Linked DNA regions of Struthio camelus. The protein of the gene in region 3 purifies or fractionates together with the protein of the main gene of each other region. This does not show direct contact. Links are inferred from orthologs where the notes say so. Each region holds a gene or a part of one and is shown on either strand. Other genes may lie near its edges. The genes, in order: CIAO3, PPAT, MMS19 and RTEL1.

Region 1 (7,393 bases), on a different chromosome or scaffold from region 3:
CACAATTATTTCTGCTGTCTGGTGGGTTGACATTGCTCCAAAATACTGAAGTGACACTTTCCCGGAAGCAAATGTGGTCCATCTTGTTTGCTTTTTCAACCTGTGCATGGCAGAAGACTGGGGTTGGAATGGCTGACTTGCTACAGATTGTAGCTGCTACTTTTAATGGCAAAACTGTAGACTGCTGAGATCCCAGGCCCTTAAGCACCGATCTCCAGCGTGCATTCAATATTTGGATTAATGCTAGGGAAAGCATGCCAGGTCTATCAGATGTTGCTCGTGTTATTGAATTTTACTAGGGCTGTTGCTCCACAAGAGTCTTGACTTTCACTCTTTCTAAAGAGATTTCATAGCCAGGCTACAAACTCACTAACGTTTTTCATTGTTAAGGAATATTCTGCAGTTATTCTGTGTGCAAAACTTACACGGGCACTGATGGCATGTCAAAGTGCGTCTGGCATGGCGCTGGAAGGAATTTTTTAATATTATTTGACCTGAAAAAATCAGCTTTCTAGTGAGACTCTTCTTTAAATGTTACTTCTCAATAAACTCAGACTGAGCGATGAAGTACTTTTAAATTGAAAGTTTTAAATATGAAACCAGACTCCTTTGAAAATGCTGTATTGGCCTTTGTAACTCAAAAGGTAATCAACAGCCTGAAATTAAAAGCACTGTCTCTAGATGAACTCCCAGTTTGGTTAACAAAGAAAAGCTCAACTTCTCTCTATATATATGAAAATACTTCAGTACAACTTGCGATAATTTGGAAGCAACAGGTTTATGAATTCTGCATGCTGCTTAGCAAATCATTTAAAAGGTATTATTAAAAAAAAAAACAAAGGTTAAAGAATATATAAATGAATCTCCTTGTTACTGAGCACGCTACTGTATAACATAACAAGAAAAAGCATTGTTTCAAATAATCTAGCAATCCAGGCACTCGAGAAGCGATGGCAAGAAAACAGACTTCTCAGCTTACCTGCTCTTGCACTGAAAATATCATTAATTAACACCTGAGTTTGAGAGCATGAAACAAAAAGGTAGACATGAAATTAGAAATATGGCTTATAAAACTGGGTAGTTAAAACCCAGTTGTTTGGTATTTTTCCATTTTTCCAAATTTGACTCCGGAAAAAGATGTGAGGAGGCTGATGACAAGAGCAATATTTTTGTTACATCTTGGTTCCCTGTGAGGTGGTAAATAGCTGTAGCATTTAAATACCGAGCAAGAAAGTTGCATTTTCTGGATATTTTACACATTAATCAAAAAAAAATCACACATACCTGACTGATCTGAAAGTAGCTCCCATCTGCTTCAATCCTGATCTTAGCTGCTGCTTTCCCAGTTTTTTTTTCAACTTTTACAGGTTTGATACATTCCTGAAACAGAAATAAAGTCCAAAAGTGAGGAACTGAGGTGAGCTGTGTGGCAGAGAAAGCACAGCAAAAATGCAATTGAAACTGGAATGATCAAAAGCAAAGGCTGGTTCAAGAGCAAATGCCACTTATTCTACCTTAAGGTACGCTCGATTTTTCTACAGCATCTATGACCACCAAGGGGAAATGTAAAAGTAAAAACTGCTTACCCCCTTTTTACAGAAGGAACACTTTTCCAACATCATACCAAAACCAGAGGGCAGTTTTGCTGTTGCTCTGAAGAAGCCAGCTATGCTTTATGGGGTCTTGAAAAGAACAGGGGTGTGCCTGCAAAGTCCTTTTCTCTCTAAAATCCCTACAGATCATGCATTCCTCACTGCAAATTTTAACCAATGGAGGCGTGGTCACTACAGTCAACACGGGGCTAGTGCCAGTGAAGCTTCATTTAATGCTGCAAGGAATCTGACGACTTCAGATGGACTGCTTCCAGCTCGCTGCATTGTTTTGTGATGAAGTCTCAAGGGTGTTTTTATACTTTGTGCGATTGTTATTGTTTAGGCACCTTCTGTCTCTATGTCCTGCTCCAACAGCCAGGAGTCGCCTTGCCTTTTACGGTCCTTTCTCTGCCAAAACCTTGAAACGTTTCTCCCCCTAGAGTCCAGCTCGACTACATCGTTGCTGCAACTACTGCAAGATTCACAGCCTACGAGGAACGAGTCGTTAAGCTTCTTCAGTTATGCTCCCTGAATCATAACAATCCAAAGGATCTCTCCATTTGAAACAGAAAAGGGGGAACAAGGAGAGTTAAGGGGGTTCGTTCTACTCTGTTTCACTACTCTCATTTGGAGACTGTCTTCTGCTCTATTTGCTGTCAACCACCATCGCTAGGATTATGCTTTTCTTGACCTGGAACTTTGCTAGTGCTGGAAGACTCTGACAAGAAAGCCTTGCCTTCTCTTTGCCGCTCGCTCCCATCTCGGTGCCATCCTCTCCCGCAGCCTGGCATGGGCACTTGGGTAACAGTGAAGTGCATGTACTGGCTCGGATAACTCGTCTAAGCTTAATTTTTCTCGGTTTCTTCGTTTTGTTTTGGTTTTTTTTCGTTGCTGCTGTTTTTTGTCTAGGTTGACAGTTCCTAGATCCAGATGGGGCTGAGCGGGGCGTGTGAACAAGGCTTTTCTGCAGCTGCTGCCCTCCCCGACCCCTCACGCTGGCAGCACGGAGCAGCGAGGTATTTCTGTGCTTCCTCCGTTTACTGCGCTAATGAGCAGCACGGGCAGAACTGGGGGAGGGGGAGGGAGAGGGGGGCCGGGCGCGGCCCCTTCGCGCCCTGCGCGCTCCGAGGCACCGGCCAGGCCCCGGGAGCGCGGCGGGGCCTTCCCCGCCCGGAGCCGGAGCCGCGGCCCCGGCCCGGCCGGGAACCATCTCCCGCGGCCTTGGCGGGCGGCGCTGGCGGGGAAGCGGCCCGCCGCCCTCGCGGCCCGCGCCCACCTGGGAGGGCCCGATGAAGTCGTCCAGGTCGGTGAGCTGCAGCACCCCGCTGAAGGGAGACGCCATGGCGACCGCCGGCGGGGACCGCGCCGCGCTGCCGGAAAGCGCCGCGCTGCCGGAAAGCGAAGCCGGCATCAGCAGCCGCGGGGGGGGGGGGGGGGTGGTAAAGAAGCGCGCATGCGCGGGTCGGGCTCGGGCGGGGCCGGGGCGGGCGCCATGATGGCGGCGAGGGCGGTGGCGGCAGAGCTGCGGGGCGGGGCGGGGCGGGGCGGGGCGGGGCGGGGCCCGGCCGCCTGCGGGGCGCGTGGTGGCCGCTGGGCTGCAGCGCGGGGTGCGAGGCCGAGGTTGGCTGCGGGCCGTGTGGGGAGGCAGTCGCGGCGGCCCTGGGCTGGGCGCCCGCGAGCCCCTGCGGAGAGCAGGTGGCCGGGGTGGGGGGACAGCGGCCCCCGGCCCGGAGCGCTCCGCCCCCAGAGCGGTTAGTGTCAGGAGGGCAGCGGGGGAGGTTCGTGCCCCTGTGGTGCGGCGGTTTGAGGCTGTCGCGCCTCCTTTCTGTGGCCCTGAAGCGTGAAGGTGAAGTGGCTGCTGAGTTGTGCGGGTGGGTGTGGAAAGATGGGTTGGAGGGTGGGGAGGGAATAGGTGTTGTCGGTGCCGGTTGTGTTCCGGTAAGGGCGTTTGGGAGTGTGTTAGTAGTGTTGGGGCGTGTCAAGGGCAGGGGGGAAAGGGCTGTGTGAAGGGGCTCCCAAGGAGATTGGGTAGAGCGCCGGGGAGCGCGGTGCGTGGAGCAGGCGTGCTGCTGGTTTGGAGTGCAGTGAGCGAGAGGCAGTGTGGCCGTGGCGTGGAGGCTAGGTGCAGCGTTTGGAGGAGTGAGGCTGAGGTGAGGGCAGATTGTGGGCTAGGAGATGGCGCTGCAAAAGGTGGGCCCGTGTGTTGTTTCTTGTGAGAAGGTGTTGTTTGTGGTTGAGGGGGAGAGCAAGGGTGGTCCTGGGTGCAAAAGGGAGAGCAGTCTTGCCTTGTGCGCTTTTGGTAGGCACGGGAGGTGCTTTGGGGATGTGTTTGCCTGCTGGGTAGTGGCGAGGGTGTGAGTAGTAGAGGGAAGGGGGTGGTGATTGGCGGTGGTTGTGTTGGAAGGTGCCCCGTCGGGGGGTGGTTGTGTGAGAGAAGGGAAGGGAGGAGGCTGTGGATACCAGTTGCGCCTTGTGTGTGTGTGTGTGTGTGTGTCCCTAACCCCCCCGGTGGCCCCCCCTCAGCGCCCGGGCCGGCAGGTTGTGGAATGGCCCTAGGTGAGAAGGCTGTGGTGTGTTTTGTGCTGTGGGTGGCAGTGGGAGTTGTTTGTGGAGGTGGGTTGGCGTTGTGAAGCGAGCGCTGTTAGGGGAAAGTAGTGGTTGGGCGGAGAGGAGCCAGCGCTTGCCGGAAGCAGGAGGTGTGAGAGAGTGGAGGTGTTGGGTGTGAAAAGGGGAAGAAAGGGGGATGCCGGAGGAGCTGCTTGTGCCCTGTGCGCCTTTGCGGCGGGGCCTGTAGTAGAAGAGGCGGAGGGTAAAGGAGTGTTGGAGGCGAGTGGGGTGTAGCGGGGGAGGTATGTTCTTTGGGATGGCGGGCAGGGCGGAGGCAGGAGTGCTAGGCAGGCAGGTGGTGAGGTGTTTGTGGAGGCAGTGCTTAGTGTGGAAGAGACTGGAGGTAGGGAAGTGGGGTGGGAGTGTGGGCAGGATTGGGGTGAGAGTGGGGTGGTGTGCTAGTGGGGCAGGAGGAAGTGCTTTCTGGGTGCTGTGGCAGATGTGCTTGAGGTGGGAGGCGGAGCGCTCGAGCGGGTGGCCGAGTTGCAAGGGTGAAAGTTGCGCCGTGAGGTGTTTGGGTGCCAAGGAGAGGGGGTTGGTTCACGCTGTGGCTGAGGTTGCTTGAGTTCAGGGCAAAGGTGTTGGAGTGGTGGAGGAAGGGGCGGAGGTAGCGGAGAGGCTGCTGCTTGTTGGCAGTCGGCTGGAGGCCGGTGTGTGTGTCGGAGGGGTTGTAGGTGGCGTGGCTGTGAAGCGAGAGGTGGGCCAGTGTGTCGGCTGAGAAAAGGTCTAGGGAGTCATGGTGCAGAAGGCGGAGCGGAGAGGGAGGCGTGGGAAGGGAGGGAGAGCATTCGGGCTCCCTGCGCAGCACCTTGTCGGCTGTGTGGGTGGGTGCACGTGACCGTTGGCGTCCCGGGAACATGACGTGTGCTGTGGACAGGGTTTCACGCAAGCAAGAGTGCTCAGTATTTGCTGGGAATAAATTTAATGAAGGAGAGCTGTTTTGTGCTGGTAGACGGGTGGTTGGCGAGAATGTTGTGAGCGAAGCATGCGAAACCAAGTAGGTGCTCTTGCTGTGTCTTGCTTGTCGTCCAGTGCTGTTGGAGGCCAGGAAGAGTGAAGCGGCCTCGGAGCCTGGGGAGGGTTGTCCCAAGCACGGTGTCTCTGGCGTGCGCGCTCACCAGGGCTGCAAAGCCTTGCTGCAAAAGAAAAGCAGGTAAGGCGGCGAGTGAGGTGCGGGCAGCAGCTGTTTGCGCAGTCTTGGCCTAGCAAGTATGTGGGTGTGGGCGTGCTGGAGGTGGGCGAGGGCAACGGGCTCTGGGAAGCCGTTCAGCGAGTGGTCTGGGCTAAGGGCGAGCAGCAGTCTGTGCAAAGGAAGTCTTGGTTTTCCGGCTAAAAGAAGATGGGCAGAAAGCGTGGTGTTTGCCGGCCACAGGCGCCTGGGGGTGAGCGTCTCACCTGAGAAGCAAGAGCAAGAACCTCGTCCAGGAAGGCAGAGAGGAGGGTTTCAAGCACGCAGATGTCCTGCAGGACTCCGGGGCCAAAAACTAGGTGGGCTAGCTGGGTGGCGGTGAGGTTGTCGGTGACATCGACCTGCAAAGGAAAAGGGAGCCCGTGAGAGAGAAGCCAAAGGTTGCTGACAAAGGGAGAGCTAAGGCCCCCGGAGTGGGCGGAATTGCGGGCCTTGGGAGGATGAGGTGGGCTGGGGCTGGGGCTGAGGCAGGGGGGCTGTGTCCTCCTTGAATTGGAGCAGGCAGGAGAGGCGTCAGCCTCGTGCATGGCAAGGGCGGTGGTAGAGCAGGCTGGTAAGGCTGTGCGAGCGCAGCGGTCTCGGTCCTTTCTGAGCGTGGAGGCACACTAACCCCACTGAAATCTGCCACTAAGGTGAGGAGATCTTCATAGCGAGCAATAGCTGCGAATGCACCCAAGTTGTCTTGCAGCCAGTGGAGGCATGTTCCGTGGTCCAAAGGAGACAGAGAGGCTGGGGCAGAAGAGAGGCCAAGAGTGAGGCGATGGCCTTTCCTTGCGGCCGCCTAGAAAGGCGAGGAGGGCCACCGAGTGGGCTGTGGGAGGGTTACCTGGTCCGTCTTACCTGCGTCGGTGCATTGGCTTTGGAGGAAGGTGAAGACAGCGCTAGAGATGCCTTGCAGCTCCCCGGGCAAGAGGGCTACGTATGCCTGGCTCCCGGAGGACACGCTGGGGAGGGAAGTGACATGGGAAAGAGGTAATTCTTGCTGTTGAGGTGGTGGCGGTAGTGCTAGGGGTGGGAGGGCTGCTTTGTCAGGGAGAAGAGGGGCGCAGAGAGGGCAGCGGAGAAGGACGGGAAGGCCTGCTTGCTCGGAAGTGGGCGAGTGCTTTGCATGGGAAAGGGCGGGCTGGCAAGGGCTTTGGAGAGGTGAGGGCAGGGCAGGCGCTGTGGCAGGGTTATCTGTCGGCAGAGGTTTCTCTAGGGTGGTGTTAGAAGTCCTGAGAGATGGTGGTGGTGCAAGTGCCCTAGTGCTGGAGTCTTGTGCCTGCTGAGTGACTGAAGGCTCTGGAGAGGCTAGGCAGTGGGCAATTACGCGCTGGCGAGGCGGTGCTGCCAAATGCCAAGTGGGCAGCTTTCTGAGTAGGCAGCAGAAGCGGCGGGGTGGGAAGCGTTTGTCAGAGCAAGAGCGGTGGGGTGCAGGTGGCAGAAGGCGAGCTGTGCCATGGCCGCACGTGGGCATGAAAGTGTGGGCAAGGGGGGAAGTTGGGTCGAGCTTGGGAGTGTTGTTTGTGGGCCTAAGGCTGCTGTGCGTTTTGCTCGTGCTTTTGTGGGTTGGTGCAAAGCAGGAGGGTTGTTGGCAGCGTATTGTTCACTGCTGTGCGTGGGGCAGAGGGGAGTGTGTGTGCGGGTTGGTGTCAGCGCTGCCCTTTGGAGTGTGTTATACAGCTGAATGGAGTTGATGAGGCCCCCTATGTGCTGTGCTCTGCTGCTGCTAGGTTTTCCTGTTGCTGGTGGTGGCGGCAGCGTTGTCGGCCGAGGTGGACCGTGTTGTGTTTGGCAGAGACGCTAAGTGAGGCTAGCGTGTTAGGAACCGTGTTGCTGTGCTTGGCCGTAGTTTGAGTGAAGGGACTGAAGATGTGACCGTAGGTGCCTGCTGGAGCACGTCTGTAAATAGTAGTGTGTTGCGGGGCTGCTGCTGAGCACAAGGGAGCGCTGCAGGTGGCTTGGCCGCTTCCTAACCACCGCGCTTTGTATTTTTATTTGACAGAGCAAAGGCGCCGGTGGCCTT
Region 2 (7,162 bases), on a different chromosome or scaffold from region 3:
AAAAATTTTAACGCTATAATTCAACTCATTTTAGGACGTTTATCACAAATAGCCAAATTTCTCATAGTGCTGCAACCAGGTATATCAGATTACAAAAGATTGATAGCACTTGTGTTTGTGTAATGTAACAAATATTCTGTATGTATACAGATAAGATTTCAAAGATGAGAAATTATAGCATATTCCCAACAGCTGTCTCTTCTTTATGGGTCGGCCATCTAAAAAATGCGGTTTGATACACTGCTATGTTCGTATATTGTAATTTTTAAAACCTAAGATGAATTAAGGGCCAAACTGTCACCTGTGTTATTACCTAGGACTAATTAGCATATAGAAGAATCATGAGCATGAGTATCTAAGGCCAGTAGTCATTAACTAAACATCCTTATTCATTTCAATGTGAGCTCTAAGAACTTTATTTTCTAAATGGCTAATCAAATTTCTGTTAGTCACTTAGGCTTTATTAGGACTGTCCATTAATATTTACCATACCTCTCTTTCATATTTACTTATTTTGAAAGGAATAAGGTTAAGAGACGTTGCTTAGCTTTCAAATTTAAGAGAATGAACTTGATGAAATTTACTGATACAGTTAATGCTGAATCTCAATGTTGGTTTTCAAGAGACATTCTAAGAAGATGAAGAATAGCTGCTGTCCTATTACCTGCTGATAGAAACATCACCTTTTCTACACCTCACAGTAGAATTATTAAGGAAAAATGTGAAGAGGTTAGAGAGAAACTTTAATGTTTAATGATGAAAACAGGAACACTGACATCTCAAGTATTTCATAGAATTTTATTGAGTGCTTGTAAAGGTAAACCTAACTGAGCAAACTGTAAAGAAAACAGATTTCGGTATACAGACACAATAAGGTTTATGTCTTTAAGAAAGCATCCCCTGAACATTTCAGCCAGTTGTGGAGTTAGGAGATCAGAATCAGAGGTAGTCCGATGTCTTCAGGCGCATATCCACTGATTTAATGGAACTTGAAAACTGTTCACAATTTCTATCACTATATTAGTATTACTGCCTATAGTTTTGTCCAGTAAGGCTCCATAGGGGATAATGGTAAAACATGGAAATCAAATGTACGTCAAATGCACATCAGAAAGAAACTATGTTTCCATGAAAATCATGAAATGTGTCTATAATGAAAATTGTGATAGTAAGCCACAGACAAACTTGACTAAAATACACCAGTCATTTAATTTCCAGTCGTGAAACTCCAGAGCCACAAGTATAACTATGTGAGCATAAATGACTTTTTACCAGCCTGTTTACAGAAAAATGGCTCAGCGAGAAAGGAGACCATTGATTAGACGGCTTCCTTCCTTGGATTCTGCAGCTTTATCACTCTGAGTGAGCATATTTTTGATAGACACTGGCAAACATACGTAGTTCATGAATGATACACCTGCAACCCAAAGAAAAGATTAGGATATGGGAGTCATGTAGGGATGCAGTGTTTTATGAGTAGAAGTGTATTAAATTCAGCTGTAATAAACAGAAAATCTTAATGTAGAGTTTTCTAGTATTGGTCCAAAACAAATTTGCAGCAGCCTTTGCATGTCTGGGACCTCTAAAATATAAAAACTGTAACATTTTTTCTATTCAATGCATATGTACTTAGAGAAGCCCCACCTCCTCAAACTGTCACGAAGGTGATGTAGCCCACTTTTCACAAATGGAAAGCAAAACATATATATAGGTGTTGGCACCACCGAAGCCAAAACTAGCATGAATGTGTATGTGCACGTGTTCCCACAAAGAAGAAATGTCTTGCTACCATTACTGAAAAAAAAATGAGTAGTATATAGTAGTGCATAACACTGTAACTTTGAAACACCAAATGATAGCGGAAGCAAAACTTCCTTTTGCAGCTCTGCATCCCTATCTCGGAAGGTGATCACTGGGAATATAGTCTTTTTTACTTTACTATAAGCATAGGTGGAAGACAAGTTTTATTATATCATGATGATGTTTCCAAATAATTATTTTATTGCAGCACGGGAGTTTAGAAATATTTATGAGCTATTTACTTAGTCTCAAACTTCGAATTGCATTTGAGCGTATGCATTTCAAATAATGCTCAGAATGAGGGTCTGGCCTTCCTGCAAGTCCTTCAGGAGGTCAGCGCCTACATTAAAAAGCCGCAGAGGGACTGAGTTGTTGGGACGAGACGACTAGCTGATGGGGAGAGGCACACCGCCACCGCCCCCCGCCTGGCTGCCCGCTGCCGGGGCTCCGCCGCCGGCTCCGCGGGGCCCCGGGAGCGCACAGGCGCCTCGCGGTTTCGCGGGAGTTAACCCGTCGGCGCACTGCTCCGCGGGGCGCCCCCAGGCCATGAGCGAGAGCAGGCTGGTGGCGGCAGATGCGACTTCGTTAGACGGAGCCGAAGCGCAAAGCGTGCCCGAGAGCTGCGCCCTGCGCTTCCCCCGACGGGGGCGGCACGGAGGCGCGAGAGGCGGCGGGGCGTTTCTGCCGTTTGCGCTTCGCCGCCGGGATGCTGCCAGGGCTGCCAGCGCCCGGCGCGCAGCGGGAGGCGGGCGCGCTCTCCCCCGCCGCCGGTGGCGGCGAGCGGAGACCGGCCCGGATGCACGTGCCGCCGCGGGGCCCCGACCCAGGCCGGCCGCCGGGGGCTGCCGCCCTGCAGCCCGGCCCGCCACCGAGAAGTCACTTTCGGATGCTGCCGGATGGCCGGGGGGGCGCCCGATCCCGTCCCCGACCCCACGCTTTGCTCACGCTACCCCCGCCCCAACCGACTTCCTCCCCCCGAGCGGCGGCAGGGCCCCCCCGTCCCTTTACCTGTGCTGCAGCCCCACCAGCCCCAGGGTGATCACATGGGGCACGTCCAGCTCCGTGGGCCACAGGCCGGAGGCGATGCAGCCGAACACGCCGCACTCCTCCCGGATGCCCAGCTCCTCCAGCTCCATGGTGCGGCCGGCACGTGGCGGTGGCGGCGGCGGCCGCCGCGGGCGGCGCTCCGGCGGGCGGCGGCGGCGGCGGCGCGGCGGCCCCGGTCTCGCGGCTCCGGCGCGCTCCTCGCGGCGCCGCGCGCAGCCAACAGCGCCGCGCCGCGCGGGGCCGCCGGTACCCTGCCCGCGCGGCCTCCCTCATTTACATACGGGGGGGCTCCGGCCCGCGCACATGCCGGCGTCGCCCGTCCCCGCTCCTCCCGCCGCCCCCAGCGCGCGGGGCAGCGCGGCGGCCCCCGAGCCCCCGCCCCCGGCCCGGGTGCTTCCGTGGGGCGCACGTTGCCGCGGGGCGCAACAGGCCGGTGTTTGCCCGCGGTGGGAGCAGGGGGGCTGCGCGGAGAGTTTGAGGGCCGGGCGCGGCGCGGCGTTTGCATTGGCCGAGAAGTGGGCCGCGGCCGTGTTTGCATCGGGGGGAGGGGGGACAGCGGGGAGTGGGCGGTGGAGGGGACCGCGGGCTGGAGTTCGCCCCAGCGGGGCGAGGGGGCGCGATGGGGCTCGGCCGGGAGGACAGGGGTGCGGGCCGGCCCCGCCGCCTTGGGCGGCGATTGGCGAGCGGCGCCGCTGCCCGCCACCCCGCCTGCCCGCCCCTTCCGCCGGCCCCTTCTTACCCCGGCGGCGGGGCCTGGCAGCATGTGCTGAACCTCTCTTCTGTGCCCTAGGTACCTGCTGCCGCCGCCGCCGCCGCCATGGCTCCCGCAGCGTCAGGTAATCTGCTTCCCCGGCGCGTCTTCCCCTTCTGGCGCTGGGGGGGCCCTGAGGGGAGCGGCCGTTGGGCGCGCGCTCCGCGGCCGTTGGGCGTTGAGGGGCGCCGGTAACGGTCGGGGGGGGGAGGGGACGCGGGGGGCGCCGCTCCCAGCTGAGCGATCTGTGCGGCGGAGGGGGCTCGGGGCTGCCTTTACGTCCCGGGAGTGGGAGGGGGGGTCTAAGAGGCTGGCGCTGAGGTTTAGGTGCTTTTAAGCAAGTTCCTTTCCGCGCAAAAGTGTGGTTTTGGGGGTCTTTTTTTTTTTTCCCCTTTCCCCTCCATTCTTTTGTGTGTGGCCACCCCCGAGAACCTCGTCTTCCCTTTCCCGGGAGTTTGGGCACTGAGCTTCCTCGTGCGAAGCAACCCTATGAGCAGGTTAAGTCTGGCTTCTTCCTCTCAAAGAAGTGAAGACCAAGTGTACGTGAACGTTAAGGCATAGCGAGCTGAAACTTAAAACGTCTTTTATCTTGAGCGGTTGATGTGTGCAGCCCCCAAACTTCCGATGCTCTGTGAAGCTGCTCCTTCAGACTGGTGCTGTCTGGCAGCGTTCTCTGAGCTTCGAGGTTCCTCTGCCCTCTGAGCTTCGAGGTTCCTCTGCCCATCTTGTCCTGACGGCGCAAGGGTAGTACAAGTGACTCCAGGTTGTGCTGACATGACTAACGCAAAATCTACAAAGTGTAGGCTGGCTAGCTGCGTGCCTTTTTTTAAAAATAAATAAATAAAAATAAAAAGCCGAAAGAGTACACTGCTTCTTTCAGCTGAAAGATGCTTAGGTATGATAAACATCTGTTGTGGTACTGGAAGTTTGGGCAGAAGGGATTGCAGGCTTTTACCTTTACTGCTGAGAGGAAACTTACTGAACAAATGGTTCAGTAGATGGGAATGTTTCCGTAGTGGTCGTTGACCACGGTTTAGAGTCCTGCTGGGTCTGACTTGGCATGCGACTGAAAGCATGCTAGCTTGGCTTGCTGACATACAAAAATAGTTTTGTTTCGGTCTGAACCTTTTTTTTTTTTTTTTTTTTTTGCGTAGAGCTGAAACTTGGTAAAAAAGTTAATGAAGGTAAAACAAAAGAAGTGTACGAGTTGCCAGAGATCCCAGGATGTGTTTTGATGCAGTCAAAAGACCAAATAACAGCGGGAAATGCAGCCAGGAAGGACCGTATGGAAGGGAAGGCTGCAATTTCCAATACAACAACTAGCTGTGTGTTTCAGTTACTTCAAGAAGCTGGTGAGTGTTTTAAAGGTAAAATAAATGCCTGTATGTTGCAGAGGCTCTTAAACCGTATTGCCTGGAGAACCTTTTTTTCACTTTATTTTCTGTTGGGGTTTTTTTTCCTTTGATACTAATAAGTTGAATGACTTAGTCATTTGAAGCACGAGAGTGTCTGAAGCAATCTTTAATCACGGATAACACTACTATAGTTTGTCCTGCATGTTTGGTCATGGCCCTACTCCTCCCCTCTGCTCATGTCAATCTGTTTTTTATTGGGTATAATAACAGACTGGATGCATCTCATCTTTCTTATAACATCTGTCTGCTTAGAAGCCACTGCTAGCTAGTAGTAGTTAAATAGACTATATCTAAAAGTTGCTCATGAGTGAGTTCTGCACCACACTTCCAAAAATGGAGTCAGTATCTTCACTTTAAGGAAAGCATTTTGAAGTGTCTTTTAACTGAGAATTTAATATCTACCTCTCTTCTAGATATATTTTATTTTTTCTTTTACAGGAAAAATAAAATAGGTCTTTAGGTCACTGCTTTTGTGTGTGTGTGGGGGGGGGGGTTAATAGTCACAAGAAAATAGTATGCAAGTTGTAAAGAGGAATTTGAACTGGTGAGTTCCCAACTTGATTCTACAAACAGTACTCTAATACAGGCAACAATAGACTCTGTGTAAGATGGTGTTCATAGCTGTACGCTCAGTTCCTTTTGAAGCGTCTGAGTGAAGACTGCTTCATGTTGAGTACCAATTAGCCTAAATGTAGTATTATATAATAAAAGTGTAGTAATAGATAGCAGATGCTCAAGCACTGAAGTTCTAGCATGTTTCATATGTGGGGAAGAGAAAAATGTTTTTCCCTAGAGTTCTATCTAGCTATATTTCTATGCAAGTAGTTCTTAAAATATGTGCTGAGATTGAAGATTATATTGAGTGACTTAATTGTATCTTTCTCCTTCCCCACTAGTCCATTTGGGAAATATTTCAATCACTAGGCTTTCCTGGAAAGCCTGTTTTGCATATAGTACAAAGAAATCTCCAAGATCTTTGGTGATAGTATTTACAGTTGATCTTTTTTTAAAAAAAAAAAAGGGGGGGCGGGGGAGACTTTCATTTTGGAGTGATGAATAAGATGTGTTGCCTGACTTTTTTTTTAAGATGGCTTTATTTTATTAAGTTAACATTTAAAATATTAAATATCTGACAGTTTAAGTGTGAATTTTAAATGCTAAGAAGTCATGCTGTAGACATCTCAAAGATCTTTAAATGGCTTTTGCTGATTAACTTTAGGTGCTGTGGAAAATTCTCCGCAGAATAAATTGCAGCGGCATTTTAAAACAACAAAAGGACTTTCAGGGTTTTTTCTCCAGTTTTGTTATTTGACTAGCATAAATTGCAGATAACGCTAATGCCGTATTGTAGAAGTAGTTTGTTTGCTTTGCGCAACTCCTCTTAACCTATTTTTTCAAAGGTGATGATTTACAAAGAGTTCTGTTAAAGTTTCTCCCTTGTTTGTAATGGAGCTGATGTCAGCGCTTCTAAAGCACACATCTGTGCTGATTAAAAATTTAGTAATAAACCAGGCAGGGGGTTTGGTGACCAGATTTAGAAGTGACTTGACATACATTTGATAGTTTAAATTTTGTCCTCTGGGGCAGTGCAATTAGGTATAAAAAGTCAATGTGTATTTTAACACTGTGTTTTAAGTGTTTTACTTGTTCTACTTCCTTTATGTCCCTGGAAGTAGAGTGGAATATAGCTACTTCTTAAATGGACTGGCTGCAACTCCTTTGGCCTCTGTCTCTGGCAGATGCCAATTGGGCTTGACAGTTGTCTTGCCCTGAGGGGGAAAAAGTGAGACTTCTCTTACTTTGCTAGTTGGGAGGAAAAGAGTCATATTGGACTTACAGTGGCAATCGGCTCATGTTGATTGTAACAGTGTTTAGTATGGGGTCATCTTAGAATTATATAATACTGTTGCTTTGCAGCAAGTTTGCGTGTGCACATATACCTCCTCCAAGTTTTAATGTCTCTTGCCAAATAAATCACTGGGATCTAAAGTCCTAAACAAATGTTAGTTAGTAAAGAAAGGAAGGACTAAGGTGTCTTCTCCTGCCCTGTTCCCCTTTATAAACAAAGTAGTAAGGACTATCATGCTCCTGTATTTTGCTCCCTTTCAGTAATTCCTCTGACAGTCTCCAATTACTGTTCAGTGTGTGA
Region 3 (7,316 bases):
CCTCTCTTCCCATCTTTTAAGAAAAGTGAGTTCAGCCTCCTCCTGACACCCGCTGACCTGTACAGTCCAAGCTGCCTGTAGCAGCAGTGAAGTCTTCCACTTGCCAAGTTGCAGTTAATTTAGTACTCAGCAACACATGCAAGAAGCTCAACATGTTTTTCCAACAACCGCACGAAGGCCACGAGGTTAGAAAAACCTCCCCTTTTGCTCAAGGAGATGTGATGCAATTTAATATTTTCTGATGTATGATTCTATGAAAGGTCAGAGGGGCCAAAGGACACTCGCTGGCTCACTTGCTTGTCAAGGTAGGTTTATCACAAGCACCATACGGCTGATGAGAGCTGTGGGGGGAGCAGCCTATCTCTTTGTATGCTTTTGAAGAGGCAAAGCTTTCTCAGGGCACTTCTGTAACATGACCATAGATGACAAGAGCAATTGTAAGGTTATCTTCCCCCCCGTCTATCGCAAACATGTTGGAGGCTTTGTGCAACTCTTTTGCAACATCTTGAATGTCATACAGTTTAGTGAATTCCTCCAAATTTCCTTGGCGTCTTCTTCATCATGCATTACATGGACCATTGGGTCATCTGCCAGTTTTGCCAGCTCATCTCTTCACCAAGATACCACTGAACAGTTTACCCCCTTGGGAAGGGTCTGTTAGCTACCCTGCGGTATAATGCAGCCTATGTACTCCTCTGCTCTCTCAAATCCTTTCCAAACACACAGAAGCCACTGCCTAGAAACACGAATGCTCTGCCTTATCCTTAAAAAGCCATGTTCCTGAAGCTGCAAATTCCCTAATGTAACAAAGTCACCAAATTGCTGCTCCAAGCGGAAAGGCAAATTATCCAAGGAAGTCAAATGCCTCAAGCCCAGCCAGGAAAGGAGGAGAAACCACAGAAAGGGCAGCCAGACCCTGAGCCCCAGAACTAGGGGCAGGAGAAGCCAGCACACCAGCTTTCTACCTGGTGAAAGGCAAGGCCAGGGGCTTCCTCCCCGCAGGTGGCCAACCTCCACCTCCCAGGCAGCCGTACCCAGGACCATCCTGCAGCTCCCCCTGCGCCCCGCACCTCCAGTGCCACGGTTCATAGCCTCACACATCCCCACACCACATCCCCCTGCCCGAAAGTGTCACTCTCCACTCCAGGCCAGCCCCCCCTGCACTGCCCCCCTGCAATCCCAGCCCATGCTGTAGGCTAGCCTTCCAAAATCCTGATCAGCCTCACAGATCGCACAACTCTGCATTCACCTCAGCTCTGAACAGCCCTGCATCTGCCCAAAATCCGTGCCCACCTTACTCCTAGAGCTCCCTACTCTTGCTGCTGCCCCACATCTACCCCACAGTCCCTAATCCCTTGCATCCCCTGTCAACACTCATCTCACAGCTGTTTCCCACCCCCAAATTCAGGCCCCCACCCTATTCTTTGACTGGCATCCATCCTGCAGCACTGCCCTGTAGCCCACAGCCCCCGCTGCTCTCTACTGCCATATCCCACGGCACTTTCTTTGCCCAGCACCCCACGGCTCCCTGTATCCCATTCCCCACAGCAGCATCCTGTCCCCACGCCCTGCTCTACCCCATGACCATCCCAATGCCAGATCCTACCCCACAGTCCTGCACCTGTATTTTGCTCTGCTCCATGGCCACGTCCAAAAGCCAGTGTCCTGCCCCGTGGCTACATCCCATGCCCTGCCCTATCCTCCCTGCAGCTCCATGTTCACTTGGCTATGCCGAAACATCCGTTCCCTGTCCCCAAAACGGCCCTGTCCCACCCCACAGCCTTAGGCGCACGCCTCCGTTCCCTGCCCCACAGCTCCATAGGTATGCCACATGATCTGCCCGACTGCCCTGTGCCCTGCCCCAGAGCCACGCTCCATATCCTGTCCCACCACCATGCCCATAACCCTACACCTTGCCCACAGCCTCATGCTTTGCCCCACAACTCACAGCCATGACCTTTCCTGCCCAGCCTCACACCTCCATGCTCTACCCCATATCTCATCAAATAACTATAACTGTGCTCTGCCCCACACACTGCGCCGTATCTTCATACTCTGTCCCATGCTCTACCCCACAGCCCCATGGCCCCACAGCCCACCCCACAGCCCCATGCCCACGGCCACACCCTGCCCCACCGCACAGCCTGCCCCACAGCTCCATGGCCATGCCACTGCCTTGCCCCACAGCCCACCCCACTGCCCCATGGCCACAGCCATGCCCTGCCCCACAGCCTGCCCCACAGCTCCATGGCCATGCCTCTGCCCCTGCCCTGCCCCACAGCCCCATGCCCACGGCCATGCCCTGCCCCACAGCTCCATGGCCATGCCACTGCCCTGCCCCACAGCCCGCCCCACAGCCCCATGGCCATGGCCACGGCCAGGCCCTGCCCCACAGCCTGCCCCACAGCTCCATGGCCATGCCTCTGCCCCTGCCCCTGCCCCACAGCCCCATGCCCACGGCCATGCCCTGCCCCACAGCTCCATGGCCATGCCACTGCCCTGCCCCACAGCCCGCCCCACAGCCCCATGGCCATGGCCACGGCCAGGCCCTGCCCCACAGCCTGTCCCACAGCTCCATGGCCATTCCTCTGCCCCTGCCCTGCCCCACAGCCCCATGCCCACGGCCATGCCCTGCCTCACAGGTCCATGGCCCTGCCATTGCCCTGCCCCACAGCCTGCCCCCCCCAGCTCCATGGCCATGCCTCTGCCGCTGCCCTGCCTCACAGCCCGCCCCACAGCCCCATGAGATACCCGGCCCCACTGCCGTGCCCGGCCCCACCACACCCCCGCCCCACACCCCAGGCCCGGCCCCATCCCACCCTACACGCCCCGCCCCGCCCCGCCCTGCCCCGCTCCGCCGCCCGGTACCTGCCGCCACCTCAGCGGCGCGCGCGTCCTGCTGCCCGGCCACGAAGTCCTGGACGAAGGCGGCGAGCAACCCGGCCCCGGCCCCGGCCCCGGCCCCGGCCCCGGCCGCCGCCATGACACTCCGCGCTGAGGACAGCGAGCCGCCGGCGCGCCCGGCCGCGCGCATGCGCCGCGCCGCGGCCGCCCCCCGCCCTCGCGCGCGTGGGGGAGGGGCCTATAACGCATGCGCGCGGCTGGAGCTCGCCCCCCCCCCCCACCCCGGAGGGCGAACCGTGGGGCCCCAAGGGGGGGGGCCGGCCCCCCTACCCCCACGTACGGCGCGTCGGATGGGACAAAAGCGTCGTGCGAGTGGGCGCGCCCACGTGGGCGGCGCCGCCCGCAAGGTGGTGCCGGTGCCGGTGGCGGTCGGGGGTCCCGGCGCGGGCGGGGCGGGGCGGGGCGGAGCGGGCCGTGCTGGGCCCCAGCTCGGGCCCGGGCGCCGCGGGGGCGGTCACATGCACACCTGGGGAGGGCGGAGCGCGGGGTGTCTCCGGCGGCGGGGCGGCCCCGGCGCTCAGAGCCCGGCGGCGCGGCTGCACGGCGCCGGGCCCCGCGGTCGGGCGCAGCGCGGAGCCGGCCCGGCCCGGCCCCATGCCGAGCGCCCCGCGCCGCCGCCGCCCGCGCCGCCGCCGCCGCCCCTGAGCCCGGCCATGGGCGGCTGCGTGGGGCGGCAGCGCCGGGAGCGGCCCGCCGCCGGCAACCCCCGCAAGCGAGCAGGTGAGCGGGGCCGGCCGTGCGCCCCGGCGGCGCGGGCACCGGGGGGGGGCACCCCCGCGTGGTCCGCGGGCACCGGTTTGGGGTCTAATTTTGTGCGCTCTTGGGGGTGTCCGTGGGCACCGGCGGGGGTCCGGTCCGTGGGCACCCGGGAGTGCCTCGTCCGTGCCTCCCCCCCCCCGCCCCGGGGGACCCGGTGCGGTGCGCGGCCCCGGGATGGGGCGGGCGCCGCCGAGCCCGGCCGTGGGCTCCCCGGCAGCGGCCCGTCCCCGCAGCCCTGCCCGCCCCGCGGGGCTCAGCCGTCGCCCCCCGCTCACGGCACCGGGCGGGCCCGCGGCGGGGACGCCGGCGGCAGCGCCGTGGCCGGTGCCGCGGGGCCGGGCAGGTGTTTTCCTCCTAGCCGGCACCGCTGCGCTCCGGTGCCGTCCTGTGTCTGGTGTGCGCGGGGCAGGGTCAGGGCTGGGGTGTGACATTATGTCCTGCCCGGCTCTGCCGGTTCCCCGGCTGCTTTTAGGTCTGTGCTGGCCCCGGAGCACTCTTTCTCTGCCTGCAGTGCCCTGAGGTTTGTCCGGGGACGCATCCAGTGCAAAGGCTCCCCGCCCCGGGTGCCCTCCGGCACCGGATGGGAAGGAGACGTTGCGCCCGGGCTGCGCGGCGGCACAGCGGCCCCGTTTCGGGCTTCGTCCTGCTGCGCTCAGCAGAGGGATCCGGTGTCCGGGCCAGCCTGCGCCTCCCAGCGCCCTCGCTCAACGCCTCCCGCAAACGGCCCGCTCGGGGCCTGAGCACGAGTGCCGTGTCCCCCCTAAGCGGGGGGGAGCGTGGGGTGTTGCTAAAGGGACCCCATCCCCTCTCCTGCCGGGGTTTGGGGACCTGCCCGGCGCTGGGAAGCCGTGTGCCTGGGGCAGCTTCGCGGGCGTCCTGCAGTCGGCCCCCGCCGCGGCACGGGAGGGAGTCGTGCGTGTGCGAACGCTGTGGGCTCGGCGGAGCTACCGAGGAGCCCGGCCGAATACCTGCGCGAGGTGCTTACGTAAGGCGCTTCCCCAGGATGTTGCCACATGCGGCATGGCCCGGATGGGCCGGCGGCTGTCGCCCACGGGGGTGGGCACGGCTGCCTCCTGCACGAGTGCGCTGGGAGCGGGGATGGTGCCACCGTCATTCAGTATCAGCCCGAGGCTCTGGCCGCTTGCGGGTTTTGCCGAGACCCAAGGGCTCCCAGAGGCGACGGCTCGGCTGCTCCGCTGCACTCCCTGCCTCTGAGAGTTAACTCATCCGGCGCGTCGACCTCCGGAGTCGCCGTGCCCCGGCTCCCCAGGCTGGCTGGAGCGGCGCCGGTCCCCGGCGAGGCGGCGGGGAAAGCTCGTCGCAGCCGGCGGTGCGCAGGGAGATCGCGCCCTGCGAGAGCCGGCCCCCTGCATTCCCGAATCCGGCCCCGCCAAGAGCCGTGCAGGCGGCAGGGTGAATCATGCCTCCCTTCCCCTCGCCCTCCTCCCCAGCCGGTGCAATAACAGCGCGGCGCGTTGCACCCACTGCTAATTGTTGTGTTTATAGCCGGGTGCTGGAGGAGGCCGGAGAGGAGGAAGAGGAAGCGCCGTGCGTGTGGGTGAGGACGGAGGGAAGCCCCGGCCCTCTCCGGGGAGCTGGGCTGCGGGTGGGCGAGAGGAAAAGAGGTTTTCCAGCAGGACGGTGCCCTCTGCTCCATAAATAGCGTGCCCCTGTGCCCTGCCTTGGTAAGAGCGGGCAAAGCCTGTGCACGGTGCTTTAGGACGCTGCTTATTCAGCTGCTCCTGTGTCCCAAAAGCCCTCCCAGGGGTTTTGGGACGTTCCCTGAGGGCGACGGAGGCGGTGAGTGCGCTTGTGCGCTGCTCGGCACGTGGCGGGCAGCACTGACCCGTGGCCAGCCAGGTCTGGCTGTGCCTGGTGGCCCTGGGGCTCCTTTCTGGGGTGCCGGTGCGTGCGGGCAGGCTCGCTCCCGCTGGCCCCGAGCTTCGTGGGCTCCGCGCCCGGAGCAGCGCGGCTGCCCGGCACGGCCTCCCCAGCCCCAGGTGAGCTGCGGCTCGCCGCGCTGCGGAGCTGCTCCCTGGGCCAAGCCGGTGTGGGGCCGATTTGTGCAATAACAGCCCTGTTCCCCCCCCGGGGGTCCCAGCCCCCACGCTGTCCCGCCTGGGGATGCGGACGTCCCCTTGCAAACGTGCGGGTGCTCCTGGGCCCTCGGCCTGGCCGGGGCTGTTTGCTCAGCTCTGTGGGTGTGCGAGGCCCTTGGCAAACACCTCCGTGCTGGCTTTGTGCCGCGGTGGCTGGGAGGGTCAGATCCGGAGGCCTGGCTCTGGGTGCTGCTTTCCGCCGGCAGACCCGCCGAGGTCCTTCACGCCCTTCCAAGGTGAGCCGTCACGGGGCGGCTCTGCGAGCTCTCACTTCGCCCCAGAGGTCGGCCGCTTTCCCAGGTGTTTGTCGCTGCCGCGATATGCGATCGCGGGGGGACCCCTCCCGCGCAGGGTCACGGCTGGCTGCAGAGCCGCGCTCCCACCTCCATCTCCCACGTGGCTGCTGCGTTCCCCTCCGGCCCGGAGCAGTCCCTGCGAGGCTGCCCGCGTCCCCGCGAGCTCTCCTCGGCCTGCTCGCGTTCCTCCTCCCGGTGCCCCGGCCGCCGCGCTGACCGCCTCCGCTTTCTTGGAGCGCGTCCCTTCCTCGGGCAGAGCGCGTGTGCGCGCCCCGCTCCTTGCCAAGAGCGCGGGCAGGCAGCGGGGGCAGCCCTGCGGCTCCCCTGGGTTTACCGAACCGGTGAGTCGCGCTCGCAGGCCGTGGCGGAGCGGGGCCGTCCCCAGGGCTGGGTGGCCGGGCCGATTCCTGCCCTTGCTTGCGGAGTGACATCAGCCCGCGGTTGCTGCGCCCGGCGGGCGCTGCCTCGGCAGCTGGCGGAGGCTGGCACCCCGGCGGATGGCCCTGAAGCGAGGTTGCAGCTGCCTTGCCTGCAGCGTGGGGACCCGGCCGCGGCACGCAGGGACCTGCCGTCGGCCGGGAGGAGAGCGCCCCGCGCCCGTGGGCCTGCAGCCGGTGTGGGCGCTCCCTGGCCAGCGTTTGGGGGGGTGAGAGGCTGAACCCCGTTTCTGGGAGAGAAGCTGGGCTCGGTTCCCTGCTGGGCTGGAGCGGGGAGCAGGTCCTGCGGCTCGGCTGCGGCGGGAGCCCTGCCAAGCAGTCCGTGTGCCTGCCCGGCTTCTGCCCTGGCCTGGACTCGCTGCGACCCTGTGCAGCGCCAGGTGGATCCGGCGTTTCTCGTCCCCTCTTCCTGCGCTGTGCTGTTGTGAGCTGCTCCCTTCCCTCGCCTTCCAGACGGGGAGGCTTGAGAGAGGGGTCCTGCGAGCAGGAAATGGTCACGAGGGTGGCTGCTGCCTGCTCCATGCTTAGGTTGTGTGGCCTTGAGACGGTTCCCTGGCCGAGGAGGGGACCGCTGGCTTGCCGGTACGGCTGGCGGTGGCATCGTGCGTCTCCTCCGGTGCGGAGCCGGGACCGGCCCGCGGGGCTGCCATGCTTTCCCCTGGGGGCGCAGCGGGGCAAGGGAGCTCCCTGCTGCTCCCCGCCGCCTTTGGGAGGTGCCGGTGGATATCCCTGAGCCGCAGGAAGGATGAGCCCAAAGAACTGGCGGATGCCTGGCTGGGAGCAGCCCTGCTGCTGGAGCCGGCGAGTCTGGGTAGGGATGG
Region 4 (7,558 bases), on a different chromosome or scaffold from region 3:
TATGTAAACTGGAAAAATTTACTCTCCCCGAGCCAAAAAACCCACAGCAATCTAATGAATTCTTTTGTCTCAAGTTCAGAAAAAGCTTATAGGATTTAAGGAGATAGGGGAAAAAAAAAAAATCCTCCGCGCTTCCTCCCACCTGGAATTTCAGAAGTAAATATAAGTGGAGAACCAGAACCAGAGTGAATTCAGAAAATTCTAAGATAGAAGGAGATGATAAGAAAAGAAAAGCTGTGAACTATTGGGGGTGGGGGGGGGGGGATCACAAAAAAAAAAAAAAAAAAAATCAAAGAAATCCAGGTTCTATACATGCACATTAAGAGAACTGCATTTCAGTCGGTATCAATTGTTTTATACATTCATCCACACAAATTCAAATACTTATTGAAATAGCTGGGTTCCTCCCCTTTTTCTTGGGATAGAAGCAGTATCATAATCATATTTACCTGTAGACTGTGTTCTTTAATTCATTAATGACTTGCGTAAGTTGTGAGTGAGTTCTGGAGGCATAAATTATTTTAGGAACGTCAGTGTAATAAGCTGTTACATAGAGAGGAAAAAAAAAATTATTAGCAGAGAAAGAACTAAAGATATCATTAGTCTCCCTTCCCTGTGGTGCCATTGTAACAATTTGTTTTATAGAGGCAGCAAGAAATTTTATCATCTAACTACTCACACAAAAGAAATGAGCTAAAGAGATTTCTAATGTTCTAAGAAAATTAAAAATACATAAGACACCTTTAAAAACCTATGAAATAGTACGAAATTGTGCTTCAGCTGCCAAACAATGCTTCCATAGCTTTTATGACTATATACTCATTGTAAGAGATAGGTAAAGTCAAAAGCGTTCATTAACATTCCTGATTTTATGCTCAGTGGGAGCGATAAAACGTACTTACCTGGGACATCAGCATCCACAGCAGCATTGCCCCAGGATGACATGGGTCTGTCAGGAAAGAGCTCCACTCCGTTCATACGTTGTGCAATTTTGCGGGCTGAAATAGTATCTTTAAAGTGTTCCCGCCAAGCCAGAGTGGAACACAGAAGGCACAGTGTCTTTCCTGTGCCTGTAGGGCTCTCCAGAATGCCATTTACCTTCTTTATTGAAAAGAAATAGAATGAAAAAAATGAGTATATTGGATATTCAACTAGAATAGATCATCGTGCAGTACAGCATTTTCCCAGTAAAAGAGAATTCACTATGCAGGAAAGTATACCATATGACAGAAACACATACCCCACAAAGTTTTTACATGCAAGACCTGTGACCTCTAATCAGCTCAGTGAAACTCAGGCTAAAATCCAGAGACAACTGTTATCCTTTATTTACTATAAGGATGGAAAATGCCTCTGCTAAATAGAATGCATCACATTTCAGCATAAAAGGCACACAAATATTAGAAATTACTCCAAAAAATAGAAATTGATTCTTAGATTATAGAATGCTTATTTTCCCTAGAACGATGACTATATCCTGCATCACAAAATCTAGACATAGTTTCAGCAGAAAGTTTGGCAAGCAGGTCCATTTCTAAATATCTAGCTCTACTGGACATTCCAATTTCCAAGTGTTTTCACAAACTGCATTATAAATAACAGGTGAGCTTGCACAGCTGAGACAAATCATGGTAAGCACACTAAAAGAATTTATTCATGTAACAGGCTTATATAAGTTTTACTACCACATGAGAAGGACCAAGCCCTTGCCTATGATCCTGAGGAATGCTGAGCTATCATGGAAAGCCTAAGCTTCTGTTTCATCTCTCAGAAGAAGCAAGGACCTTGGAGATCGTGTTTACCAATTCCAGAACAAAAATAACTATTGTAAAAACCATTCCTTATTTGACATTCATTCAGTAAGATTACATTATCGTAGCTAGAAGGGCAACTTACACTAATAGTACAATTCACTAACAATACAAAAGCAAAACTTCTAAGGATAGAGTGCACGAACATAAGAACTACTTCCTTAATTTTTCTTCCTTTTCCCACATTAGGCAGAAATAGCCTGTCCTCATTTCTACTGAGAGATACAACACTTGCCCATTTCTGGGTTTTTAATAACTGTATACTAAAATAAAATTACAAATAAAATCAGAAAAAATTGAAAAAGGCAGTATACAGACAACAAGAAGTAAACTTGAATCATGACTCCTTTTTTAAGGAACCCCTTTTCACAGCTAGAAATGAGATACGCGTAGTAAATGAACTAAGATACACCTAGGAACTAAGCTGCTGTAGATCTGACTTGTAACACAGTCAAGAATTAAATTTTAGCAGAGGAAAAACTGCTGCGCCAGAGCCCCTTGGCTGCAAGGAGCAGCACGCCGCCGGCACCTCCCAGCACTCACCTTCTGCAGACACTCGAGCACTTTGGCCATGTACGCTTCCTGGCACTTGTACGGTTGGAAAGGAAAATCCACGGTGATGCCATTTAGAGTAACCTTAGGCATGTTTTCCGCAAGGCACCTGAAACTAAGGGCATGCGCGTGATCTGCAGTAACACGACGCTAGGAGGAGCCCGCGCGCCCGACAGCGCCTCGAGCAATGAGCCGGATGCTCGTTTGCATAACAAGCGCCCGAAATGGCCCGTCTCCCCCTCACAAAATCGGGGCCTCTAACACGTTAGCAGCAAATCCGCTCCGCAGCCCGGGCGGGGCGCGCAGGGGCCCGGCGCAGCGGGCTCACCGGAGGACCCGGCCGCCACGTTCACGTTCCCCGGGGGGGCCGGACCCCGGTGCTTCCCCGCGGCCCTCACAGGCCCTTCCCAGGACAGGGCCGCTTCCCTGACAGCGCCCCTCGCTGCGCCCACCCTCCGGCACCCGGGCGCCCCGGTGGCACCGGCGGAGCCTCCCTCGGCCCTGCCCGCGCCGCCGAGACCCCCCCCCGCCGCTCCCCCCGGTTGCCATGGGGACGCGGGCGCCGCCGCAGCCTCACCTCGCGCGCCACCGTTCAGAATCCCCGCGCCTGCGTCACGTGCCCGGGCTCCTTCCGCCGCGTCACTTCCGCCGCGCCCGCTCTCGCGAGGCTTGCGGCGTTGCCACGGGAACGGGGCGGCGAGCGGCGGGGCCCGGTAGGCCCCGGCTGTGGCGGCGGGGCCCGTTTGCCGCCGCTCGCGGTGCCGCCCGCGCGGCGGCGCTGGCAGGGGGCTGGCGACCTCCCTCTCACCCCCCCCACCCCGTGCGCGGCGGCGGGGCTGTGGGGCCAGGTTAGGCCCTGCCTGAGGCCGGCAGTACGGAGCAGGTCCCGGGCAGGAGCCGGGGCCGGGGGGCCGCTCCGCAGCGGGAGCTGCGTGATGGCAGCGGGAAAGTCGGGAAGCGCTTCGGGCCCCCCAGCTGCTTCTCCTTTCCGTCCTAGTGCGGGAAGCCTGGCCGCAAAGAGGCGGTAGATAGACCGTTTGCTTGCAAAAAGCAGCAAAACGGTGACGTTTCTCATGCTTTTTTAAACCTGCTGGGTTCCCCCTAAGCGTCTGAGTGCTCCTTCACGGTAGCTGGTTGAGGCCGGATTTCTCTCCCTCTCTTTCATGAAAGGCCAGGGGGCCTATGTAGGAGGTCATCTCCTTGACCAGTTTTTCTCTCCAGCACACCGTTCTGCTTTATGCCGCCTGTCTGCCACCCTCCGGTGGTAGTGCCTACAGGGAGAACGCAGACTCCTACGGGATTCTGTGTTGAAACTCTCCATGCTCTCAGTACAAGGGGTTTTATTTCATTATATTGCGCCTTGCAGTCTCTGCATCGCAAACAGTAGTGAATTCTGATGGGTATCTGAATTCTGATGGGTATCGTTAGGGATGAATGTCCTGCTCCTTCGTTCTCTGCTTTCCTTTCAGCCTTCAGTTTCCTGTCTTTATGTCAGTGCATGTGGCCTGGAATGGCTGTGCTGGAATTTCAATTGCTCAGACTAAGGGTGGGTTCCACCCCTATGTGACTGTAATGAATTCTGAACCGTTCTGGAATGATGGATGAGCCAGTGCTTGTAAGATTCTAGCAAGCCATCCAACTATTTGAATAAATGGACGTGGTTTGCCTGGATCACAAAATTTTGCAAAATCATATTTTACGCAATTATATAAGGAAGAAGGTAGAAGAAAATCTTTTATCACACACCACATCTCCCTGTAAGTCATTTCAAGTTCCTACGCTGTTAGATGGTTACTATATAAGTGTAAAACAGGATGTAGCGTCGTATTACTGAAACTTTACAAATGCCCTTACCAAGTTGCAAGGGGTAATGTCTGTATGTAGAAGTATTCTAATATTTCAAGAGAAGAAAAAATGTGACCTTAAATGTGAGTGTATTGTGCCATCTGATCTCAAACTTCTGGTATATTCTGTGTCTTCCAAGAATTCAGATAGCGAAGCTTACATATCCTGCTCTTTTGGTTACCAGTCTTGAATCTCCCCGAGCTGAACTTGTCTGTCTGTAAGCTGTTTTGAATTGTAGCTAGTAGGCTACAGAAGTACAACAAAGCACACTGGAGTTGGGTGCTAGCAGTTGTTCTGTGGTTTATAAGCCTCAGTTTTCCAGCTCTTGCAATACAAAGCTGAACTTAATAAGGTGTGATTGGGAGTACTCTATTAATATGGGTCGCTATACCTCAGGCATAATAAGTTTTCTATATTCTTGTATGTCTGTGAGAAAAGACAGTTGTTTGTGGAGTGGGGCATCTGTAATTGAAGAATGCCTAAGGAAAATGTTGCTAAGGACAGAACGTCTAAGGTTGTTTGATATGTCAGACTTGATTTTGAATAATTGCAGAAAAGTCATTCAAACAGTCCTTGTTTTTTTACGGTTTGAGAGCGTTAAAATACAGTCTTTTGGTGTCATTTGATTTTGAGTTACTCCTTTTGTTCTTCACTGTGCTCAACACAAAATGTAACAAGCGATTTTGTTCATATCTCTGAACGTATTAACTCTTTCACTTGATACCAGTCATACAAGACTAAACTGCAAAAGAAATGAGTTTGTAGGAACTGATGGGATGCTGTGAAGGTGTGGGATAAGGTATTTGTAATGGAGAATAAAGGTTTAAAACTGGCCATAAACCTATTGAATATTCCCTGCCTTTTCTGTCATTGTTCCCTGTAAATGTATGTTTCATGCTTTGAAGAGGAATATAAATGTTGTGTAAAATCAGATTATTTTCACTACTATTTAAGTAACGTTGATTTAAGCAGTGTTACCTTAGAGGGAGAAGAGTTGGAAAGTTCCCAAACCCAAAAAGGAATATGATTCAGCAGGTGCGCTATTGTCCAGGGAAAGATATGACTCAGCACTGGCTGAGTGCTGTTTATCGCTCTGGAGGGTTATTTCTCTGCACCATTTACCTTACTTGACCAAGTCTGCAGTGCCAGCATCATCCAGTCTGTTTTTATCATTGCTTCACCAATTTCTTCTAAAAACTGGGAAGAGAGCAAACAAAATCTTGTAAGTTTAAAGAGAAAGATTTATTCCTCATTCAAGTTGGAAGAGAATGTTAGAGGTTTACTAAAGCCAGAACATTGTTGTCACATACACGTACGGACATCATTCTCATTCCTGGGTTCTCATTCTGGGATTTAGCTCCCTAGGATAAAACCTGCGATTGTATAAGCCATGGGTTTGGGGAGGGAAAAGGAGGGGAAAGAGGAGAATTTTTGGAGTGGCATGGAGGATAATGACAGGCCAGTCCCTGTACCATTAATGGCTTCTTCATGCTGATCCGTCCTATAGGCAGTGCAGCCTACCAGAGGTTCCACACAGTGCTTTCTCACATTAGTAGATGGTGAAGATCTTGGATGAACTAGTTTTCATTTGAAGTGGGCAACAGAAAGTAAAACATGTCTATAAGGAAAAAATGTACAAAAGAAAAATCTTGCAGAAGATAATCCTAAAACTCTGTAGGGAAGTGGATGTGTGAGTGGCTGAACCTCACTACGCAGAGAATCCTGTAAGTAGAAAGCTTGTAGAATGCAGAAGTACAAGGAGAGTAATTTTCACTTTTGTTTGGGGGGGGGGGGGCACCCATGCAGGATTTCTCCTCCTTGACAAGCAAGAATCTTGAGGAACAGGACCGAATACATTGAAGAGCAGCGGTGACCAACCGTGAGACCACTGCTATTCATGCATTTTTCTCCTTTTAGATACAAGAGGATTAAGTTGCCATTCATTGTCCTTCTGAGGACATGTAATGGTTCCCATGGTAACCATCTAAAACTTTTGTTTGACCATATAATTATTTGATTCCTTTGAATCCAGATAATCCCGAGCCCTGCTGTCTTTTTACTGTTGGGAAATACATGAAGTAAAACTGCTTTCTCTTTGGCACTCAAATTTTAATCACAATCATCCTGTTATTAGGTGGATAATGAAATACCCATTTTATGATGAGGAAACTGAAGCAGATGAGATTAGTGACTTGGTGAAAGCCACGTGACAAATCATGGTTGAAGCCAGAACTAGACACAGCTTCACGTGCTCAAAATTTTCTATTCTTTACCAGTTGTTGTTCCTCAGTCAGTTATCTCGTTTTGCACTGCTAACTTTTTTTGTACAACCTTGACCAGTTCTAACTGAGCAGACTCTGTGGTGACCTGAATTCCTAGCTTGCTTTACACTTTTAAGTGACTAAATTAATACATCTCCTCCTCTTCCTCATGATCCAGATCCTTTGCACAGTTTGGCCTCGTTTCGCAGATGCACATGATAGATACCAAAGAGGAAACGTTCAGAATAACTCTGTTGTTTCCCTTGCCTTAGGGAAACATTTTCCTGATTTAGTGCTGATGTTGTTATCACTGGTTTCTCTTTCTCAGTTGCAGTTACTTCAGGCTGGGCTCAGATAGCTTTCTTGCTTGACAATGACCGTCTTTATCTCCATTCTCGACTGTTATTTAATAATTTGAGGAGGGTTAATTGCTGCCCTATGTGGGATTTTTATTATTTCATGCCAACTAAGTCAGCTTCTCCTAGCTTCTTGAGACTGCAAATGGTACTGGAAGGTCTCATGGCTGCACTATTGCCATACCTACACTGTTGTATTAGAGTAATATATGGCAATCCGTGCTTTTCCTTTTAGACTAGGTGTTTGTCATCCTTCAACCTTATTTCGTTAGTCACTAGATTAATTTTTTCCCAAATGTTTCTTCTTGGAAGCCCTACTTGTGCAAGACTTAGAGCCACAAATAATAATATAAAGAAGTGTGGTTCTGCCATGCCTGTAACCCTTCTTGTAACAGCCACAGCCTGCAAATCTTCCTTTGTGAACTGTTGCCCTAGACGACTGTCTCCTATAATGAAACACAAGGAGGATTACTATGGGTCTCTGATTTGGGGATGTGTTGTGTATTGAGGAGATAGTTTTCTCTATCAGGTCGTGATTTTTCTTTCTTTGGTTCCAAAAGACATTTCTGTTCTTCAAAATTAATAGACGAGCCACCCTTAACAGTTTGCATGTATATACTCTTGTAAACTGGTTTGTTTGTCTTTTTTTCTGAAAAGAAAGTATGAGTTATTGGAAGAAGCCTTCCTGTGGCACACGACCTCTAAGGATGTTTAATTGTTAAAAATATTAAAA

The links.
Region 1: the proteins of MMS19 (region 3) and CIAO3 purify together in Homo sapiens (affinity purification with mass spectrometry; 3 studies listed by BioGRID and IntAct, with this or other methods). This does not show direct contact. The link is inferred for Struthio camelus from reciprocal best matches to the Homo sapiens genes MMS19 and CIAO3.
Region 2: the proteins of MMS19 (region 3) and PPAT purify together in Homo sapiens (affinity purification with mass spectrometry; 3 studies listed by BioGRID and IntAct, with this or other methods). This does not show direct contact. The link is inferred for Struthio camelus from reciprocal best matches to the Homo sapiens genes MMS19 and PPAT.
Region 4: the proteins of MMS19 (region 3) and RTEL1 purify together in Homo sapiens (affinity purification with western blotting; 4 studies listed by BioGRID and IntAct, with this or other methods). This does not show direct contact. The link is inferred for Struthio camelus from reciprocal best matches to the Homo sapiens genes MMS19 and RTEL1.

What each region holds. Positions count from the first base shown.
Region 1 is NC_090956.1:2,351,822-2,359,214, forward strand, and holds the start of CIAO3 (cytosolic iron-sulfur assembly component 3), read right to left. Parts: upstream 3,007-7,393; 5' UTR 3,004-3,006; coding exon 2,869-3,003; intron 1,963-2,868; exon of another isoform or gene 1,623-1,962; coding exon of another isoform or gene 1,587-1,622; intron 1,381-1,586; coding exon 1,285-1,380; intron 1-1,284.
Region 2 is NC_090945.1:56,075,808-56,082,969, reverse strand, and holds the start of PPAT (amidophosphoribosyltransferase), read right to left. Parts: upstream 3,005-7,162; 5' UTR 2,937-3,004; coding exon 2,809-2,936; intron 1-2,808. Other genes in the region: PAICS (bifunctional phosphoribosylaminoimidazole carboxylase/phosphoribosylaminoimidazole succinocarboxamide synthetase), read left to right, coding at 3,638-3,683, 4,753-4,950. UniProt on the Homo sapiens protein: Catalyzes the formation of phosphoribosylamine from phosphoribosylpyrophosphate (PRPP) and glutamine.
Region 3 is NC_090948.1:17,004,095-17,011,410, forward strand, and holds the start of MMS19 (MMS19 nucleotide excision repair protein homolog), read right to left. Parts: upstream 3,017-7,316; 5' UTR 2,984-3,016; coding exon 2,869-2,983; intron 1-2,868. Other genes in the region: UBTD1 (ubiquitin domain-containing protein 1), read left to right, coding at 3,092-3,251. UniProt on the Homo sapiens protein: Key component of the cytosolic iron-sulfur protein assembly (CIA) complex, a multiprotein complex that mediates the incorporation of iron-sulfur cluster into apoproteins specifically involved in DNA metabolism and genomic integrity.
Region 4 is NC_090959.1:18,012,956-18,020,513, forward strand, and holds the start of RTEL1 (regulator of telomere elongation helicase 1), read right to left. Parts: upstream 3,008-7,558; 5' UTR 2,941-3,007; intron 2,479-2,940; 5' UTR 2,457-2,478; coding exon 2,355-2,456; intron 1,102-2,354; coding exon 903-1,101; intron 544-902; coding exon 450-543; intron 1-449. UniProt on the Homo sapiens protein: A probable ATP-dependent DNA helicase implicated in telomere-length regulation, DNA repair and the maintenance of genomic stability. Acts as an anti-recombinase to counteract toxic recombination and limit crossover during meiosis.